Linked DNA regions of Oryctolagus cuniculus. The protein of the gene in region 2 interacts with the protein of the main gene of each other region in a pairwise test. Links are inferred from orthologs where the notes say so. Each region holds a gene or a part of one and is shown on either strand. Other genes may lie near its edges.

Region 1 (3,483 bases), on a different chromosome or scaffold from region 2:
CTACAGAGACTGAAAACTCAGAGCAACTCCAGATTTAGAGGGAGAAAGGGACAGACAGGCAGAGACACTCAGCTAGCCCAGAGATGAAGAACTCGGAGTCCCAAAACTCTTGCAGAAGAGTTTGCAAGAGCCCAGAGACAGCAACCACTGCACCCTGAAACACAGAAACTCCCAAAACAAAGCCCAGAAAACTAAAGTCCCGAGAAAGAACCTAACAGAAACACTGAAAAGACCCCAGAGATCTCTGAGACAAACTCCAAATCCAAATCCAGAGATCTCTCAGAGATCTCCAAATCCACTCCACCCCCCAAATCCAGAGTGGTAAATATGAGAGGCCCCTGACAGGAGCCTGTGTCATCTGCAGGCACGCCCACCCCATCACTGACCCCACGCCCTGGAGGGCGGGGCGAGACTGGGCAGCAGCACTTCCGTCTGTGCCATCTCCTCCCATTTCTCTGGCCTCCCATTGGCCCCTCTCTCTCCATTTTTGGGTCACAGAATGTGCTTGGGCCCCAGGGAGGTTATGTAGGACAGGTCCTGGCTCCTTGGGGGATGGGGTAAGGAAAGGAGACCCAAGGTTCAGAGGGGTCCAATCCTGGACAGAATAGGCAGACTAGGGGACAAGAGGACCGTCACCACCATCCCCAACCTGCAGCCCTCGCGTCTCCCTTCCTCAGATTCTCCACTCTGTCTCAAGCTTTGAGTTTAAGTTAAGAGGGCTGAGGACTTTCATCATCCTCTATTCCATATACAGGGCTGTGCATCTTTCTTCCCTTGGCTGTTGTCCAGCCATGCCCATGCCCCCTGCCCGGGGACAGCTGGCTTCGCCTCACACCATCGCTGTCCATTCCCAAACTGAAGCATGTGTAAGCCCTAACTGAATGGATAGGGGGCGCTCTCTTCAGCCCCTGAGAGTCCGTCTTCTCAGACCCTCCCCCTGCCTAAGGCCGCTGAAACAGTGCAAGGCTGTTACTAGGGGCACTCTGGGGCTTGAGGATGACCCTCCGCCACCTGACGCATCGAACTGCGGGGGCTCCGCCCCCCTATCCGAGCGGCCCCTCTCTCGTCACATGGCCTGCGGGCTTGGCCTGCGATTGGTGCGTTCGCATCACTCTCTGAGGTGCTGCCGCCCAGGAGGCCCGGCCCCCTCACGTGACAGTGGAACGCCGCAGCGGCTCCTCTCAGCCAGCAACAGGCCCTTTCGGTTTACACGGAAATGGGCGGGCCATTTCCGCGCACGTCGGCAGATCCGGCTGTCGATTGGCCAAATCTCCCCTTGCTCCTCCCTCATCTAGAGGAGGGGTAACTCGGGCCAAATGAGGGCCGTGATTGGTTAGCGCTGAAGGCTAGGGAGGGTAGGCTTCAGTCACGTGATGTGCGCTAGTTCTTGTCACGTGGCTGCTACCCAGGTAAGGAGGCCGCTCTTCCTGGGTTTGGGGGTCCTTTCTCGGTGTTATGTGCGGTCTTTGTTACCAAGTCTCCTCTACCAGCGTAGGCTGCATGAGGGGGGGACGGGCTCCTGGAGTCCTGCTCGGCGGAGGGGTGAGTGACCGGCCCCGCCCCTTCCGGTCTTCGAAGTAGCCTCCGCGGTGGACCCGCTGAGGCGTGTGAAAACCGAGGCTTTGCTTTAATTTTCCAAGTTTCCCTCCCGGCTTTAGGGGCATTTTCCTTGAGTGCGGAAGGGGAGGGCAGAGCCTGAGCATCTATCCCAGCGAAGGCTCCCTGAAGTGCACTCTCCCGGGGGAATTGTGGGAAGAGACCAAATTCGCCCCCTGCTCTCAGGCTGCCCTGCTCCTGTCGCTCCTTTGGATGCCTACCCTGCTGCCCGTGGCCTCTCGCCTTCTGTTGCTACCCCGAGCCCTGCTGTCCATGGCCTCTGAAATCCCCCCGTCCCAGCCCCCGCCGGCCTCAGGCTCTGGCTATGTTCCAGGATCGGTCTCTGCGGCGTTTGTCACCTGCCCCAACGAGAAAGTCGCCAAGGAAATCGCCAGGTGGGGACTTCGGTGTGGAGCGAAGAAGGGTGGTCGTGATCGGGACTTGCTGGGCGGGGGGAGGAGGGGTTGTGTCTGTGGCCGGGCCGCCAGGGCAGAAATCCCGGTCTCTTCGCCTTCAGGGCTGTGGTGGAGAAGCGCCTGGCAGCCTGCGTGAACCTCATCCCTCAGATCACATCCATGTGAGTCACAGGACTTGTGGGTAACCGGAGCTCACGGGGCTGGCTGGGAATCTCTGTCCTGGGGGAAAAAGATTTGCTCCCCAAGACTTTCTACCTCTGTCTCTCTGACCTCTTCAGCTATGAGTGGAAAGGAAAGATCGAGGAGGACAGTGAGGTGCTGATGGTGAGAAACCTCCCCCCACCCAAGAGAACTGCCCAGCCCCTACCCCTCAGCTGAGGCCCTGCATTCAACCCCATCTCCCTCATCCAACCGTATTTCTCTTTGCCCCTTAGATGATTAAAACTCAAAGTTCCTTGGTCCCGGCTTTGACAGACTTTGTCCGGTGAGAACTTTTGAGATGGATGCGGTGGGGGTGTGTGCAGTGGGCGGGACTTGCTGAGCAGTCTAGGGTTTCTGCCCAAGCAGGGAGCCCCTTGGGGTAAGCGTGTCAGTCATTTCTCAGCCGCACCCACCCCCACCGGTTTTCGCAGTTCTGTGCACCCTTACGAAGTGGCAGAGGTGATTGCGCTGCCTGTGGAGCAGGGGAACTCCCCGTACCTGCAGTGGGTGCGGCAGGTCACAGAACGGGGCCCCGACTCGAGCACAGCCCTACCGTGACCTGCCTGCCCGGTCGCCGCCTACGCTGCAGGGCCCTCGCTCCCCGGGATGGCTGAGCCCGCAATAAATCCAGTCTGGTTCTCTCTGCCTTTTGCCTGTTTTCCTTGTACATATGCACATTCGGTTGGGGAAGAAGAGGGAGTGCTCTGGTCCTCGTGTTCCTCCATCTTTCAGAATGACGCAGGGCTGCTAGGTTTGTTTTTTTCCTCTTTATTTCAACCATACAGAGTCCAGGATCTCTTATCTTCCCCCCCCTCTTCCTCAGTCTCTGCACCCAGGGGTTAAATAATTTTTAAAAATATTTAAAAAGCAGTAACAAAAAAAAAAAAGAAAAGGAAATGGTAAGATGGGGGTGGGGGAGTGGTGAGGAATCCTGGAGGGGGCAGAGAAGAGCGAGCCTCTTCCCCACACCCCACCATGGATTCCAGCCTGGGCAGGAGGGAGAACTATCCCCTGTCTCTCCAGGTACATCCCAGCTGTAGGTGAGGTGAGAGGTCAGGGTATGAAAGTGCCGGTGTGTGTGAGCAGGGAGGCGGGCAGCCGCGGGGCTGTTCAGAAGATGCCCCCTCCTCCCCACTCAACCAGGTACTGCACAGAGCCATCAGGCCGTACTCTCCGAGCAAGGACCCGGACAGGGTCCCCTCGGGACAGGTAGCCAACCCCACCCCGCACTCCTCCCCCAGTCCCAGGAGACAAGCTACGGCACAGGGGA
Region 2 (4,541 bases):
CCCCATTCCTTGGCCCCCCTCTAGAAGAGCCCCGGCACCTCTAAGTTCTGCACTTTAATACCTTGACAAAGCAGTCTGTCTGCAATTAAACCCCCCTGGAGGTGAGCGGCTGGGGGCTGCACCCCAACCCACGCCCTCCCACAGAGACCTGGCTGCCTTGGGGTGGGGGTTCCCCCCAACTCCCTCCTACCCCAGGGAAGCCGAGGAGGCACAGAGCAACCTTCACCCGGGAACCCACCTCTTTCCTGCTGGGCGGCCAGAGCAGGGCACCTACCCTCTCTGGGCCCGGATTCCTGCACAAAGTGCCAGGGGGTGGCTGGTGTGGGAAGGGGAGTGCAGGACAGCTGGTTATGTAGCCCTCACCCCGAGAGGGACAGCAGGCGCCCCTGGGGGCCAGGACTGGGCTCCCAAAGTGACTGGGAGCAGGGAGCGGGAATCCGGGGGCTGCCCCAGCCTCTCACAGGGGCCCTCCGCTCTGGGCTGCAGCAAGAGCAAGGCCAAGAGCGCCACCGCACACACCTAGGGCGTCGCCCCGGCCTGCAGAGCTGCCCCCCACCCCGCCCCGCCCCCGCCCGCCCCTGGCCCCGGGGGGCCCGGAGCTGGGGAAACCCGGCGCCTCCGCAGGCAGCGGGGCAGGCCGGGCCGGGTCACCGCGGGGCGCTGCCGCGGAGTTAATTCAGTCCATGTGCGGGACGCGGGCCTCTTTGTGCGGGAGCTTCCCCCCTCTCCGGGCAAGGACACGACCCCCGCCACCGGGCGGAGCCCTCCCCCGGCCCCGGGACCGGGGAAGGGACTGACGGGCGGCGACGCCAGGACAGCGGCCCCCACGTCCCGGAGAGCCCCCTCCAGGGGCGCCGGGGCTGGGGTCCCAGCCAGGGGGCGGGGTGGACTCTGGCCCGGGGCCACCCGCTCTGTCACCTGCGTGTGGCCCGGAAGGGGACAGCAGCCTGGGACCCCCGCCACCATCTCCCGCGCCCGCTTACCTGGGCCGCCCGCGCCCCCGCGGCCCCGCCGGACTCCGGAGCGAGCGCGCAGAGCCCAGAGCGCGGCGCCTCGCGCCCGCCCCTCCCCGCCCCTCGTTCCCTCCGCCCCGCGCCCCGCGCCGCGTGACCATAAAAGGTGAGGCCGGGGGAGGGGGCCCGGGGCCCGCCCCGCGGAAGCGGCCCCTACCTGCCCCCCCACCTGCCCGGCCGCGCCCCGCGCCGCCCCCTCCCCTTCCCTTTGTTCCCTCGGAGACTCCTCCCCGCCCCTCGCCCCTGCCCCTCGCCCCTGGCCTGGGGTGGGCGTCCAGCCCCGCTGCGCACCCTGGCATCTTTGTGGGCCCTCAGTGGCCCTTCCACTCCCCCTGCCCTGGGTCACCTGGGTCCGCGGCCCCGCCTGCCCGGTCCGACGGAGGCCTGTGCTAACACCTGGGCTTTGGCTGAAGTGTCTGAACTGGGTTCCATGGCTGCTCGCCAAGCCTCGGGACCCTGGGCCTCAGCTTCTTGGTCTGTAAAATGGATCTGCCCACAGCCTGCCCCTCTAGGTGACCCAGACGATGGGACGGGTTGACCTCATGAGGCACACTATGAGCCCGCCTAGCTGGGGCAGCCTGTCACCTCTATTTGCTGTGGGGGGGGGTCACTGCCTGTCTGGATCCCTGCAGGTGCACCCCAGCACCCTGGGGGAGGGGACAGGCTCTGGTAGGCAGGGCCCACTGACAGCCAGGTCACTTGGTTTGCCACCCTGGGCACTGTGTCCTGACCCCATCCCTCTGTGTCCTGGACCCCAACCTGGGGCAGATGGAAGTGGGGTAGGGATGGACAGAACCTGAGCCCGGGGGCCGGGATGGGCTGCTCAGGTCCCTGGAGGCTCAGGGACTTTGCTGGGAAAGGGAATCTGGGTCTGATTCAGAGGCAAACAGATTGTTCTTTTGATTAAAGCCACAATGGCTGGGCCCAGCACCACCTGGGGGACAGCCAGTTAGGGCCTGGCTCTCCCTACAGTCCTGCAGCTCACCACCTCCCCGGGGGGGTCCTGGGGATCCGGAGGTGGGGGGTGCCTGGCTGCTCTGTGTCCCCCTCCTCCCCTTCCCTAAATCTCGGCCCCCCCGACCCTTGCCCCTCCTGCCTCCGCCAGCCCTCTGCCCATCTGAGTCTCACAACCTCAGAAGCCACAGCAGTGACAGTGGCTGCGCTTAGAATCTGCCTTGTACACCTTCCTCTGTGCCCCTTAGGCACCCCGACTGGTAACGCCCACTTCACAAAAGGGGGATGTGGCGGGGCGGGGGAAAGAGGGGACCTGGGGAGGCTCAGGCCTCACAAGAGCCAAGTGGCAGAGCTGGGTTCAAACCAGAGGAGCGGGTGCCCTGGGCACACTGCTCTGAGGGCCCCAAGGGTGGGCACCCCCACCCCCACACACCACCCTTCCCAGGTGCGGAAGCCAGGGCTCAGGGAGGCCGTGAGCAAGGTGCCCCTGCCCTGGTCGGGGTCGTCCCCGGCTTGCGGTGATGTCCCCCCCCCACACACTGTGCAGCGTTGTTCAGGGCTGGGCCAAGCCCGATAGAGGAGGAGCTGCCCCCCACCCCCCACCCCTGTACCTCCGGGACAGTCCCCGAGCTCCCCCCCCCCCCCCGCTGCCCCGGCAGACAGCATGACAGGGCACCCGAGCCTTGTCCAAAGTCACCCTGAGGCAGCCTGGGACCTCGGGCCTTCCCACATGTGTTCCGGACCAGCTTGGGGTGGCCTGCAAGGCCCGAGGGGGGAGGGTCTTTCTGGCACCACTCACCTGCCATGTAGCGCCCGGGCTGCGTCTCCTGCTGCTCCCGGATGGAGGCACCGTCCTGGCCCAGACCTCCCCGCACCAGCCTGGGTGTCGGTGTCACCGATAGGCAGGTGCCAAACTTCCTGCAACGGAAACCCAGGAAGTGCGCTGGCCCAGAACACACGCCCTTTGTCTGGCGGCTCGGAGGCCCTGCTCCCCGCTCGGTCCCTGCCAGGCCCCTCCCGGCCTCAGGTGGCCCCAAGGGAAAGGGGTCAAGCTTTTCTGCAGGTTGTGGCTGCTGAGACCCAGGGTGGCAGCGGTGGGAGGTGTGGGGGCACGCCCCGGGGCCGGGGGGGGGCCTTGCTGCCAACCAGGCTGCCGGGGAGTTTGCTGTCCCCTTTGGAGGACTTGGCTACTCCACCACTTGTTGGGTACCTACTATGTGCAAGGCAGGTGTGAGTGCAGGAGCCCCCGAAACCAAGTCAGACGCAGCGTCCCCACAGAACTAGGCAGGGGTGCATATTGACAGTCGTTAGTGATGACAGTGCTATGACGGAATGGAGAAGGGGCTGGGGGGCTACGGCTCAGAGAGGCCCCTGCACAGGGCGCGTCGAGCGGCAGGGTTGGGGAGCCACAGAGGAAGCTGCGGGGATACGGGCTCTGAGGTCAGACTGGGGCTTCCGTTTTGCCTCTTCAGTTCCCTCCGCTTGCTGCTGTTGCCTCGCCTGTGACACGGGCAGCTGGGCCGGAGCTGCCCACGGAGAGGCGTCTTGCTCTCTTTAGAAGGAAACCTCTGAGCCCAGTTCATTTCAGAAGAAGAGAAGTGTACTTGGCTCCTGGTTCTGGAGCTGGGGAGCTCAGGAGCACAGTGCCAGCCGGCGTCTGGTGAGGGCCTCCCGGCTGCGTCCCACACGGTAGAAGGCACACGTACTGAGACAGCAGGTGCACCCGCTCGGGTCTCTCTTCCTCTCCCCTTAATGCCATAGGCGCCATCATGGTGGCCTGCTCATGGCCTCATCTAATCCTCTTCATCTCCAAACACCATCGAACCTATGAATTGGGATGTAACTTAGAGACTTTTGGGGCACGCATGCAAACCCCAGCAGGAGGCGTCTGCTTCCCTTTGCAGAAATGTGGGGTCATAGGTATTGAAAAGGTACAGTCAGGGTCTGGCCTATAGTCAGTGTCCTGGAAGTGTTGGGAGGGGACAGTCTCACCTGACTTCCAGAACATTCTGCCACACCCTCCAGCTATAGCTGAGAGCAGGAACCAGCCTGAGGCGTGCGGGACGGAAGTGTGCTCTTCTCCAGGGGTTGTGCCATTTTCCTCAGAGGCTCCCTGAACCACCCCCACCCCCTCCCGCCCAAGAGGAAGCATCACCCAGCTGCCCCCCCCCCCCCGTCCGGGCAGGCTCTGCTGCGGCTGGGGCAGAGCAGAGCCACCCAGCCCGGCCTGTGCAGCTGCATTGTGCGGGATGGCAATGGCGGCGAGAGGCGGGGAGGGGTTTACCCTCGCACTCAGCCTCAGAAGACCCCTGGGCCCCCCAGCCCCTCTCCAATCCCCCACGCAGCAGGTTCTCCCAGCACCTGTTTCCTGAGCTGGGGTGTGTGTGTGCACGCGCGTGTGCAGCCGCAGAGAGAAGGGGCGTGCTCGTGCGTGCCGGGGACAGACACGGCTGTCAGCAGCGTCTGTGTCCAGGAGCGACTCCGGCTCGGGCCTGTTTCTTCTTGCAGCCCAGCGATGGCAGGGAGTGTGGATACAAACGCCCAGCGCTTAGTAGGTGCCCCGAGGCGAGTTCC

What was found.
Region 1: the proteins of FBLIM1 (region 2) and CUTA interact in binary tests that used the Homo sapiens proteins (3 or more experiments, as listed by UniProt). The two-hybrid records come from large-scale screens. The link is inferred for Oryctolagus cuniculus from reciprocal best matches to the Homo sapiens genes FBLIM1 and CUTA.

What each region holds. Positions count from the first base shown.
Region 1 is NC_091436.1:135,730,542-135,734,024, forward strand, and holds CUTA (protein CutA), read left to right. Parts: upstream 1-1,409; 5' UTR 1,410-1,455; coding exon 1,456-1,542; intron 1,543-1,782; coding exon 1,783-1,991; intron 1,992-2,113; coding exon 2,114-2,173; intron 2,174-2,290; coding exon 2,291-2,336; intron 2,337-2,446; coding exon 2,447-2,496; intron 2,497-2,644; coding exon 2,645-2,771; 3' UTR 2,772-2,859; downstream 2,860-3,483. Other genes in the region: PHF1 (PHD finger protein 1), read right to left, coding at 3,324-3,483. UniProt on the Homo sapiens protein: May form part of a complex of membrane proteins attached to acetylcholinesterase (AChE).
Region 2 is NC_091438.1:153,868,922-153,873,462, forward strand, and holds the start of FBLIM1 (filamin-binding LIM protein 1), read right to left. Parts: upstream 2,909-4,541; 5' UTR 2,767-2,908; intron 1,080-2,766; exon of another isoform or gene 984-1,079; intron 1-983. UniProt on the Homo sapiens protein: Serves as an anchoring site for cell-ECM adhesion proteins and filamin-containing actin filaments. Is implicated in cell shape modulation (spreading) and motility.